3 linked regions of the Mus musculus genome follow. The protein of the gene in region 3 interacts with the protein of the main gene of each other region in a pairwise test. Links are inferred from orthologs where the notes say so. Each region holds a gene or a part of one and is shown on either strand. Other genes may lie near its edges.

What was found. The genes of interacting proteins can lie anywhere in the genome.
Region 1: the proteins of Trim42 (region 3) and Emd interact in binary tests that used the Homo sapiens proteins (3 or more experiments, as listed by UniProt). The two-hybrid records come from large-scale screens. The link is inferred for Mus musculus from reciprocal best matches to the Homo sapiens genes TRIM42 and EMD.
Region 2: the proteins of Trim42 (region 3) and Ywhaq interact in binary tests that used the Homo sapiens proteins (3 or more experiments, as listed by UniProt). The two-hybrid records come from large-scale screens. The link is inferred for Mus musculus from reciprocal best matches to the Homo sapiens genes TRIM42 and YWHAQ.

What each region holds. Positions count from the first base shown.
Region 1 is NC_000086.7:74,253,483-74,257,229, forward strand, and holds the start of Emd (emerin), read left to right. Parts: upstream 1-1,204; 5' UTR 1,205-1,469; coding exon 1,470-1,551; intron 1,552-1,725; coding exon 1,726-1,833; intron 1,834-1,970; coding exon 1,971-2,048; intron 2,049-2,260; coding exon 2,261-2,394; intron 2,395-3,395; coding exon 3,396-3,442; intron 3,443-3,524; coding exon 3,525-3,747. UniProt on the Homo sapiens protein: Stabilizes and promotes the formation of a nuclear actin cortical network. Stimulates actin polymerization in vitro by binding and stabilizing the pointed end of growing filaments. Inhibits beta-catenin activity by preventing its accumulation in the nucleus.
Region 2 is NC_000078.6:21,414,558-21,418,278, reverse strand, and holds the start of Ywhaq (14-3-3 protein theta), read left to right. Parts: upstream 1-842; 5' UTR 843-1,187; coding exon 1,188-1,481; intron 1,482-3,721. UniProt on the Homo sapiens protein: Adapter protein implicated in the regulation of a large spectrum of both general and specialized signaling pathways. Binds to a large number of partners, usually by recognition of a phosphoserine or phosphothreonine motif.
Region 3 is NC_000075.6:97,367,355-97,371,101, forward strand, and holds the start of Trim42 (tripartite motif-containing protein 42), read right to left. Parts: upstream 2,605-3,747; 5' UTR 2,491-2,604; coding exon 2,150-2,490; intron 1-2,149.

The sequences.
Region 1 (3,747 bases), on a different chromosome or scaffold from region 3:
TCAGGCATCCTACACACTTTTTCTACGCGTACCCCTTCTTCTAGATCTCTCCAATAAAGGGCAGCCTACCTAGATCCACATGACTTTGTGTAGAATATAATGGTCATGGTCACTCTTCAAGGCAACCTTTCTCTGATCCAGATCCTTAGTAAGCCTCCATCAATTCCCATGGTTTGCCTCTAGGCCAGCAGTTCAGAACCTCTGGGGTCGCTATCCCTTTGGATCTCACATATCAGATATCCTGCATAACAAATATTTATATTTTAATTTATAGCAATATTGAAATTACATTTATGAAGTACAACACAATAATTTTATGGGTGGGGAGTCACCACAACATGAGGAACTGTATTAAAGGATTGCAGCATTAAGGAGGTTGAGAAATAGTGCTCTAGGCTTTGTACACTTGTCTAGGTCTCTAAGGTCACACCAAGCTTAGAGACTATTCTACTCAGCCAGAGAAGACCTCTCCCCCCAGAATTCCTCAGGGCCCAAGGTAGAACAGTGAGTATGGCAGGTACAAGGTGTACAGATCTACATGCATCACAGGGCAGGCAGGCAGGCAGGCAGGCAGGCGCCCTCTGATTGTGTGCATTGGCATACCCTGGACCTTTGGAAAGCTGCTTGATCCTGTAGTGCTGGTGGCCACTTGGCCCAGTGCTGGCCCCATTTCCTCGCGAATGGAACTAGGCATTAGAGAAGACGACGGTGGGAATGGGCCTGTGCAGGTGTGCAGGCCAGGGTCATGGAGACTGGGAAGACCAAAGGAGATGGGTAGGGAGTGCCAGGGCTCTGTGGGTGTCTATGTTAGGTGATGAGAGCCCTGTCTGACAGCATACAAAGAGCTCTCAGCAGCGTTAGGCGCTCTGGAAGGGTTCGCTCTCAGGATTGCTTTACACTGCTGTGGATCACACTGTGGCTGAGAATCCTAGGCACTGGAACACCGGGGGAATAAAATCAGGAATGAAGCCAGTAACAAAAGTATGTGAGATCTCACAGGTTGGGAAATCTCACAAGCCGGTTTTGGTCAAATCACTTGCCTCATCCCTAGTAAGTTGCGCTCTAAAGCATCCTCTAGTGAGGTCAGCCAGCTCCGCCCCTCGGCGGCCTAGCTCTCAAAGGAAGTCTCAACCGCTGCCGCACGAGTTCTGAAAGCTCCGCCTTCTCCCTGTTCGAGCCAATCTCTCACAAGCGTTACGTTTCTGTTTGCCAGCCCAGCCTGTTCCCTCAGCTAGACCGGTCTGCACCGGCCGTTCTGGCTAGTTTGGGCCTGCCCTGAGGAGCGCGCGCAACCTGCGTAGCCGCGGCTGTGACGCAAATGTGACGGCGGCGTGACGCGCCCACAGCCGCTCTTGAGGCTCTGGCGCTTCTTCTTCTAGGCTCCGAGCGGTTGGTTTCTTGGGCCCTGTCTGTAGGCCCCGGCCGCCCCTGGCGTTCAACACCGCTTCCAGGTGCCGGCCTTGTCTGCCATGGACGACTATGCGGTTTTGTCCGATACTGAGCTGGCCGCAGTGCTACGCCAGTACAACATCCCTCATGGGCCTATTGTGGGTATGCTGCACCCGGTGGCGCTCAGAACCTCTCTTGGTCCACTGCTTTCCCGCGCTCCTCCCTGAGCGTTCTCCCCACCTCTCCCTCCCCTCAAGTCCCCTCCCCGTGTTCCCTTGTGCTCTTGGGGTGCTCGGCTCACGCCCTCTGACCGCTTCGCACCCTGTGTCTGGGCAGGTTCCACTCGCAAGCTCTACGAAAAGAAAATCTTCGAGTACGAGACCCAGAGAAGGAGACTCTTACCCCCCAACTCGTCATCTTCTTCATTCTCCTATCAGTTCTCAGGTGAGCCCTTAACTGCAGAGCCCCAAAGAGCAGCTTGGGGCACACGTCTTAGGGAGGGAGGGTGTGGCCGAAGCTATTGAGGGAGTAGGGGGAAGGCTGGAGATCGAATGGTCCTGTCCCTCCTCCTTCACATGCAGACTTGGATTCAGCCGCCGTGGACTCAGACATGTATGATCTGCCCAAAAAAGAAGACGCCTTACTTTACCAGAGCAAGGGTAAGGCAGGTATAGGGTGGGCACTGATGTTTTTATCCCATGCTTCCGGGATTTGGGCACAGGGAAACCCCAGACCTCCCTCACCTCCTTGTACCAGTTCTCAGTGGCTTCAGAGGGGAGAAACTGACACAGCACACACAGGCTGGGGAGGGAGAAGAGGAGGCCAGTTAAGGGGCACCACTTTTTCCTCTACCACTGTTTTCCTCCCCAAGACTATAATGATGACTACTATGAGGAGAGTTATTTGACCACCAAGACATACGGGGAGCCTGAGTCTGTGGGCATGTCCAAGAGCTTCCGCCAGCCGGGGACCTCACTTGTAGATGCTGATACCTTCCATCACCAGGTGAGTTGGCTGGTAGGTATACCTGGGGTGCAGCCTTAGGGAATTCTAGGTTTGGATAGGTGCAGAGAGTGGATCTTAGGCTTTCAAATCTGGTTAGGGTCAGCATACAGCTGTCGGGTTAAAAATTCTATGTTGGAACCTTCAAAACTATTGGATTTGGGGATGCTCAGCAGAAGAGTATTTACCTATGGTTTCATCTCCAGCAGCACATAACAAATGTTTTGGGGTTTTGGCTTTTTTAAAAGATTTAATTACTTTAATTATACATATGTGTGGCCAATTTTTGTTAGTTTGTGGGTATTTCCCCCCCCCCACTTCACCCCCAGTAATGAAAAATTCCCAGAATTCCAAATATCACACAATTGTAGAAACTATCTGAAACTCACAGAAACACACCTTTGCTAAAAGCATGAGGCAACTCATAGTTAGCTGCTGTGAAGCAGCCCCATATTCCACACCTAAGATTAAAACAAAAACATATTCTTACAATATTTCTGTGTTTCTTAAAAAAGCCAAAATTCCAGAATTCTCACATACATGTCTGTGGGTAGTATGCATGAGTGCTGGCACCTACAGAGGTGAGAATTGTCATATTCCCACTAGAGCTAGAGCTACAGGTAGTTGTAAACTGCCTGATGTGTGTGCTGGAAATTGACCTCAGGTACCTAGGAAGAATAATATGTGCTCTTAACCAGTGAACCACCTCTTCAGCCCACAAACTTTTTTGATCAGAGAATATGTAACAGCTCCTGCACTCTAGTAATTAATCTACGATATAGATTTAAGCCTCCTGAGAATCCAGGGGAATAAAAGGATGCTGGAACAAAGTCAACAGGGTTAGTAACTGAGCAGCAAGGCCCCACAGATAAAGAGGCTCCACATACTCAGAATGGGGGAGGGGGGGGCAATTTTCTGGTCCCTATGATATGATTAGAGCAGGCTAGCCAGAGACATTTAAGGAAAACCATTCTTCCCCATTTCTAATCCTAATTATTCTGCAGGTGCGTGATGACATTTTCTCTTCTTTAGAAGAGGAAGGCAAGGATAGGTGAGTAGTGAACATATGTAGGGACAGGGACAAATTCGAGTCTCAGACTCTCCTGCCTACCTGTTGCCTTCTTTTGCCACAGGGAGCGCCTCATCTATGGCCAAGACAGTGCCTACCAGAGCATCGCACACTACCGCCCCATTTCCAATGTCTCCAGGAGCTCTCTGGGCTTATCATATTATCCTACATCCTCCACCTCTTCTGTGTCCTCCTCTTCATCTTCTCCCTCTTCATGGCTTACCCGACGTGCCATTCGGCCAGAGAAGCAGGCCCCTGCTGCTGCTCTGGGCCAGGATCGACAGGTC
Region 2 (3,721 bases), on a different chromosome or scaffold from region 3:
CGCAGTCCTGCCCAGATCTCCTGAATCTACCTTTCCATAAGGGAATTGCTGGCTTTCGGGTGCCTGTGTGAAAACTTGAATTAAGCCACTTTCTCTGGGAACGAATCCTTTTTTAATGGGGATCAGGATATTTCTAATTTGTAGCCGAAACAGGAAAATTGTAAGGGTTGCATTTTAATGTCTTGGGGATACAAACCTTTGTCAAGAACAGGAAGGTAGAAGAAAGGAAGGCGCTTGTGCATCAAAAGGGCTAATTATCTCACCCCTGCCAAGTCCAGCTGCAGCCGCAGCAGCTCGAGAGCTGCAACGCCCCATCTGCAGTGGTTGCTGCTACAGGACACGCGGTCGCAGCCTCGGAGGTCGAAAGCACCTCCGGTCCCGTGCCGCACCCAGGAGTGCCGGGCTGGCGGGGAGGATGAGGGGAGTTGGAAAAGCATCGCCATGGCAACAGTGACGTCCATTCACCCTGGATCTAATTGGAGGAAACCCCGTGGCCGAAGCCGCAGCCTGCGGGCCAACCGAACCTACCCGAGCCGACCCACCCTCGGAGCCTCCGCTTCGCTTCCCGCCCCGCCCCCTGGGCCCCCTTCCGCGCGCTCGCCCCTCATTGGACAGAGGAGAAGCTAGAGGCGGGACTCCTTGGGGAGGTGCAGCGTTCTATTGGTCGGTGGCGAGCTCGTCGGCTCCGTGCTAGGCTGAGACGGGAGGGTCCTCGGCTAAAGCCCAAAGCAGATCAAAGTGGTGGGACTCGCGTCGCGGCTGCGGAGACTAGAAGGTGAGTGCGGACACAGCTCTGGGACTGCGGCTGCAACAGCCGCCGCGAGGTACCGAGGCCGGGTTGGCGGAGCACGGTCCTCATATCTGCTAGGCTACCGCGCGCCTGAGGTTCGGGCTGGGACGGGAAGGTGCGGCACCAACGGCCGCTTCCATCTTGGGCCGGGTGGGGCCCGCGCTCCGGCCTTGGGGAGGCGCGGCGGGCGGGCCGGAGGGCGCGGGCGGAAGGCGGCGGCCCCGTGAGAGGCCGGAGGACGCGCCGCCTCGTGCGCTGAGACAAAGCGGGCGTCCGGCTGCATTGTCTGACGCGCTCTCTCCTCGCTCCTTTTTGTCCTCGCCGGCGCCGCCCCGCCCCGCCCCTCGCGGCTCTCAGGAGGACTCCGGATCCGGCTCGGCGCTCGCCCTCGCTCGCCATGGAGAAGACCGAGCTGATCCAGAAGGCCAAGCTGGCCGAGCAGGCCGAGCGCTACGACGACATGGCCACCTGCATGAAAGCCGTGACGGAGCAGGGCGCCGAGCTGTCCAACGAGGAGCGCAACCTGCTGTCGGTGGCCTACAAAAACGTGGTAGGGGGCCGCAGGTCCGCCTGGAGGGTCATCTCGAGCATTGAGCAGAAGACCGACACCTCTGACAAGAAGTTGCAGCTGATCAAGGACTATCGGGAGAAAGTGGAGTCGGAGCTGAGGTCCATCTGCACCACGGTCCTGGTGAGTTGGCGCCGGCATTAGTGAGGGAGTAGGGCGGCGGGAGCGACACCCCTTTTGTGTGGTGTTCCCGATGGGGAGAAACCTGTGGGATAGAGAGTTTGTGATTTGAGCCCCAGGCTTCCTTCTTACCTGTTTCAGAGCTTTCTCGGGGGTGGGTAACTCTTTTTTTCCCAAGCTCTGGGGTACAAAAACTTGGGGGGAGTAGCCGCGTAGGCTTGCACAAGACTGAAAAAGACCTATTTAACCTTGTGCCAGGAGAGTGGTCCTGAGATCTGTAAGTTCTTTCATGTCGTAGAAGGCATGGGGACTTTTACCATAGAGATGCTAGAATTTCCCCAGCCCCCCAAGATTTAGGAGTGAAAAATCTAGACATGTTTTATTTTTCATGTAAGAATATGTTGAGCCTTTCCTTGCTAAAGAGGTGTGGGGGTGGGTGGGTGGATGAGTTCACTGGATGAAAAGGATACAGATAATTTGAAGAATACCATGCCCTGGTCAAATTTCACTATTTAATAGTGTTTGTTTGTTTGTTTTCTATTTGTTGCCTCACTTTAGTCCGGTGTATGGAAATGAAAGCATTTCTGGTGTGGATGGGCAAGGAAGGCTTTCCAGGTTTTGCACTATCCAGTCCCAACCGGGATGTTAACTGCTATGATTCACCCTTATTAGAGGGGGCACTTTTAAATCTTGAGTCATTCATTGCCCAGATCTCTTATTCAATAAAGCAAGTTTCTAAAATTTAAATAGCATGCCATAGAGTGTCAGATATTAATGCTGCAAACTGTGACTCCTGTTCACATTGATAGGTAGTTATAGACTGATGATGAAGTAGCTGCTGGGTTTGCTCTTCACATGCCACCTTTATATGAGGCAGCTGGTAGCTGATAGGCTTGCCCTGGATCTTTTTAGGTGTCTTTTATGCAGGGTTTCATAAGAGAAGGGAAAAAGGGGCTTTCCCTTCTAGCCTTCATTTCTTTATCACATCGAATCAATGGAACCTAGAACATTTTTCCCTGTTGTGTAAAACCTACCTGTTTTACTAAAACAAAAGAGATTATCTGAGCAAAATCATGGCTGATAGATACAGATGTTAGGGGTCAGAAGCAATCAGTTGGTAGTGAAGTGCAGAAAACTCTGTTTTGTAAAGATGCCATTTTGTTCTGTTAACATCTATGTGATCTTAAGTTCCAGTCCCTGTTTAGCTTAGGGGAGGCAGCTCTTTGGCCTGAATTTTTTTACATTCAAGAGATGTCAACTAGGATAGTAATAGCAGACTTTAATACCATATATTGATGGCTATTGTTAACACTTTGGGGTTTATTTACCCATGCAGTTCTGAATCACCAGATTTTTGTGTAAACTATCAGTTTAATTCTGAAACAAAGGAATATTTATTCCGTCTTGCAGCTCTTACACACAACAAAGAATTGTGTTCTGCCTGTATGTATGTATACCACCTATGGGGATGCATTGTCCAGAGACTGGAAGAAGGGGTCAGGGGTTATCTCCTGTAACTGGAGTTGTTAGCTACCATGTGGGTGCTGGGAACTCAACTGGGTTCTGGGGTCCTCTGCAAGAATAGCAAGTGCTGTTAACCACAGAACTATTTCTCCAGCCCAGAAAATTTGGGTTTTATGGAAGCATAGATGTGGGAGTTTTCCTTTTTTTGATACGGTTTGAGAGAGTGACCAGACATTTATTGGAGACCTCTCATGCATATCCTTTTAATAAGAGAACTTTTGAAATTGGGACAGTAGTGCTTTTTTCGTGCACAAGACAGAAATAGAAGAGGTAGGTAGGTTGACTAATTTGTACACTGATGCACAAATTAGCTGAATTTTGCCTTGATGACCAACCTGGAGAAGAACCCCGGGAAAGCATGTCTCCAGTTGGCAGATATTCTGGAGAGCTTGATATGTTTTGAAAGGTTAAACAATACAGGGAAGAACAAAGCTGAGAACCACTGATTTGATTTGATTTGATTTTTTTTGTCCTTGAACAATTTGTAATATAGAGAATTGTGCTAGGTAATTTTTATAAGGTGTTTATGAATAAAATGCAGTTTAGTTAGAAGGAAACAAACCTCAGATAAGACTCTACAGAGATAATAGATTTGAGGGTGAGTATTGAGGGAGCAGTGTTAGAAGTGATTGCCATGGGGAGGATTTGGGATAGAGCTTGAGGGAAGGTGTTTTTTTGTTTTTGGGGGTTTTTTTTGGTGTGACTAGAGGGTGGTCTGT
Region 3 (3,747 bases):
CCCTGTAATCACCCTCTTGCGCTATCCACCGGCTAATGTCCACAGTAGAGGAGGAAACCGCAAGAGAAGGAAACAGTAGCCAAGCTCGTGAAGGCCCATGTGTGCTTATACTATTGTGAGTTAAGGGTCTCTATTTGTCTACTGGAGGTCACCCTCATGGATTCAATGGCAAGAACTACAAATGAAGAGACTATGCTTGTGCAATTCAAGTGCATGGTATGAGAAGCTGCAATCAGAGTAAAAGCAGTTTAGGAAAGAAGCGACTCTGCTGTGGGAATGGAGATGCAAGCCGATGCACTATCTTTGGCTATTCTCGAGTCTTTCTGTTCATAGTAAGGTCCTGGACTTGACATTGGGCAGTGTTCTCTTCTGACCCCTTCCCTTTCTGATTTCTCTTTCTCTTTGTCTCCTTCTTGGCCAAGGAACCCATGCCTCAGATCACTGACAGTCAAAGGAGCTTCCTAGGGTGGCCCTGAGATACAGTGTCTCCGCATAACCTTAGGCAACCTGAGAGCTGGCTTATCCCTGGGTCTTGGATGCTGAGATCTAGGCTTACAGCCTCACTGTTTTTGGTCCTATTTCTTTTCTGTGTCCAAGCCTCTTGCTTAGTACCAGAAGGGTCACCTGAAGTCACAAGTCAAGAGTACATGTTGTACCTAGATGAGTTTCTCTGATAAGAAAAGTAAGACTTGGAGTCAGTGTATAATACATGGAGGGAGTAGAAGCGATCAGAAAGAGGGAAGGAGGGAGAAAGGAGATACTGTGTGGAGAATGGGCAGGGCTAAGAGAACTCTGTTAATGGCCCGAGGAACTGGAGTAGTTATGAGAAAGGGACTGAGGAAAAGAATGAATCCAGGAAGGCTAGATTAGACCAGAGTGAAGAAAAAGTGAGGCCACTGAACAGCATTGGGAGGGAAGGGGTTTGGAGACCAGGAGAGGGGGGTTGGAAGGCAAGCACCAGTACGTTAGAGCTGACTGCCTGGCACTGAAGTACAAACAGGGTGTCTGCTGCCCACAGATTTCCATGCTAAAGCAGCCACCAAGGCCCACAGCCTTGCCTTCCTGCCCTGCCTCTGCTCCACTGCACAGCCCACTCCCTGCTAAGTCTTGCTCGTTCTCACATCTGCCTTCCAAGCCTCTAGGTCCCACGCTGATGACTCCAGTTCTCCCTGTTAGAATCACCGGATGGGGATCGAGTTCTTACAGTTCTGAAGCCCACGTTGTACCCCAAGATCAATGGAAAAGAGAATGCTGAGGTGTGGAGAGCATGCAGGAGCGTTTATTTTTAAAGGTCCCCAGGGGATTTATATGCACTTCTGAATTTGGGAGCTGCTGATGTCTACGACTCTAAAGCACTAGCTGTGATCTTCCCTTCCCTGTGAAATCTCCCCTGGCTCCTGATGTCCCTGACATGTGACTTAAAAAGAGCAGCTTGCTAGCCTGTGGGGTAGCCACTTTACTGAGTGACTGAGAACCTGACAGTCATGACTTTGGAGGGGAAAGAAAGGGTGGCTGTCAGCTCAGGGTACTTCTGTAGGTTGCTACCTATGGTCAAAAGCGGCTCCTAGAAGTCCGTACTCACCTGGTAAATGCTGCAGTTTACAGGAAGGGGATGAAGAACAGTTTATATTTTTCAGATCATCTAACAGGCTATGGAGCCTATACCATATAAGGGTCTCCATTTTGTCATGACTTTTTGTTTTTTTTTAAATTTTGGACCCTTGCCCTAGCTCTGGATTCAAGTCATGACTCTACCCCCTTCCTAGCTGCTTAGTCTTGGGCAACTTAGTATCTCCCAGCTAAATATTTTCCTGAGTCCAGCTGGCACAGAGTGAGGAGAGGGATGGATACATGAACAGTGGCTGGCAAAGTTTCTTGAGGGCCATCACTTGTTTGCAAGGTGAGAGCTCTTGGGGTCAAAGGGTACATGTAGCATGCATTCACATCGGTAAAGGAACTTGGCTGTTTAACTGCTACAAAATTACCATTGTTTTTGTTTGTTTGTTTGTTTGTTTTTTTGTTTCCCATGTAGAGTATACTCTAGGAAGCACTGGCCTGTTCTGGGGTACCCACAGCTGGCACATGTTCTCCAGTTATTTTGAGCCAACATAGCCAAACGACGGATGGCCAGCACTCATGCAGTACTTACGAGGTGACGATGCTTCGAAGGCGACCCTTTCTGAATGTGATGGTAACATTGCGGCAGCAGTGGCTCTCGTAGTAGTAGCACTTCAGATTGGTGCTGGCCGTGCAGCAGCACTTACAGTTGGGGTCATTGGCCCAGGAGCAGCAGCACCAGTGGCAATTGGGGTTCTCTGCACAGGTGCAGTGGCAGAACTGGCAGTTCCGCTCATCCTTGTAGGGGCAGGGGAAGCAGGTGCAGTTCCGCTCGGAGGTGAAGATGAACTTGCAGCACAGGCAGGAGAACAGCCGGGGGCAGCATCTCTGCCAGGTACAGCAGGGAGAACAGACACACATAGCCGTCTCCATGGCTCCTAGTTCTGGTACAAGGCCTCTAGAGTTTTGACAATGTTCTCTACCAGATTATTGTGGCCACTTCTCTCCCAAAGGGACCCTTGCCCACTCTCGTGAGGCTGGCAGTTTGGGAATTGTGGCAGGAAGTTGGCCAGTTTATGAGGCCTTCACAGGTGGTGGTCCTCCTCTGAGCTGGCGTTACCTATTTCAGCCTGTGGACATTGCTTATGTCATAATCCCTGACTCCCACCATGTCTTCACATGCTCAGTAGTAGGTAAGAGGAGGGCACCCAGGGGTGGTAGCTGGGATACATACTGGGTGTTTTTCAAGAGACTGATGTCACAGGAGTGGTGGCACCACGGAGCTCTTGGAGGCTTTAGCGGCCATCTGTTGTGTTTCAAGTGCTCACATGGATTTTAGATGCTGTTTTTCCTTGGTTGGTACTATTACTGCTATTTGGGTAACTTGAATTCAGGTTTTTTTTTTTTTTTGGTTTTTGTTTTGTCTTTATTGACTGAAAGACCGGGGTGTGACTAATTAGACATACAGACTGACACCATGTTCCTCTTCCGTCAGCAGAACTCTGACCAGCAAAGCACAATGTTTACAAATAATGGCGCCATCACAGTGAAAGGGTCATCACTATTCAGAAAAGGGGCTGAAGGGACAGAGACACAGGCTCACTCATGTCCCTTCAGAGTTCATGATCACGAGGCTTTATGCTTAAGTCGTCCACAGGTTTAGGACTCAGACTTTGTTTTCTTCTCCTCTGTACCCTTGCCCTAGACCACCCCACCCCTCCCCACCCCACCCCACCCCACCCTACCCTACCCCACCCCACCCTACCCCACCCCACCCTACCCTATCCCATCTCACCCCACCCTACCCTACCCCACCCCACCCTACCCTACCCTACCCTACCCTACCACCCCACCCCACCCCATCTCACCCCACCCTACCCTACCCTACCCTACCCTACCACCCCACCCCACCCCATCTCACCCCACCCTACCCTACCCCACCCCACCCTACCCTACCCTACCCTACCACCCCACCCCACCCCATCTCACCCCACCCTACCCTACCCCACCCCACCCCACCCTACCCTACCCTACCCTACCACCCCACCCCACCCCATCTCACCCCACCCTACCCTACCCCACCCCACCCTACCCTACCCTACCCTACCACCCCACCCCACCCCATCTCACCCTACCCTAGCCCCACCCCACCCCACCACATTCATTTATCAAGAGGTGCAGAATCATTAG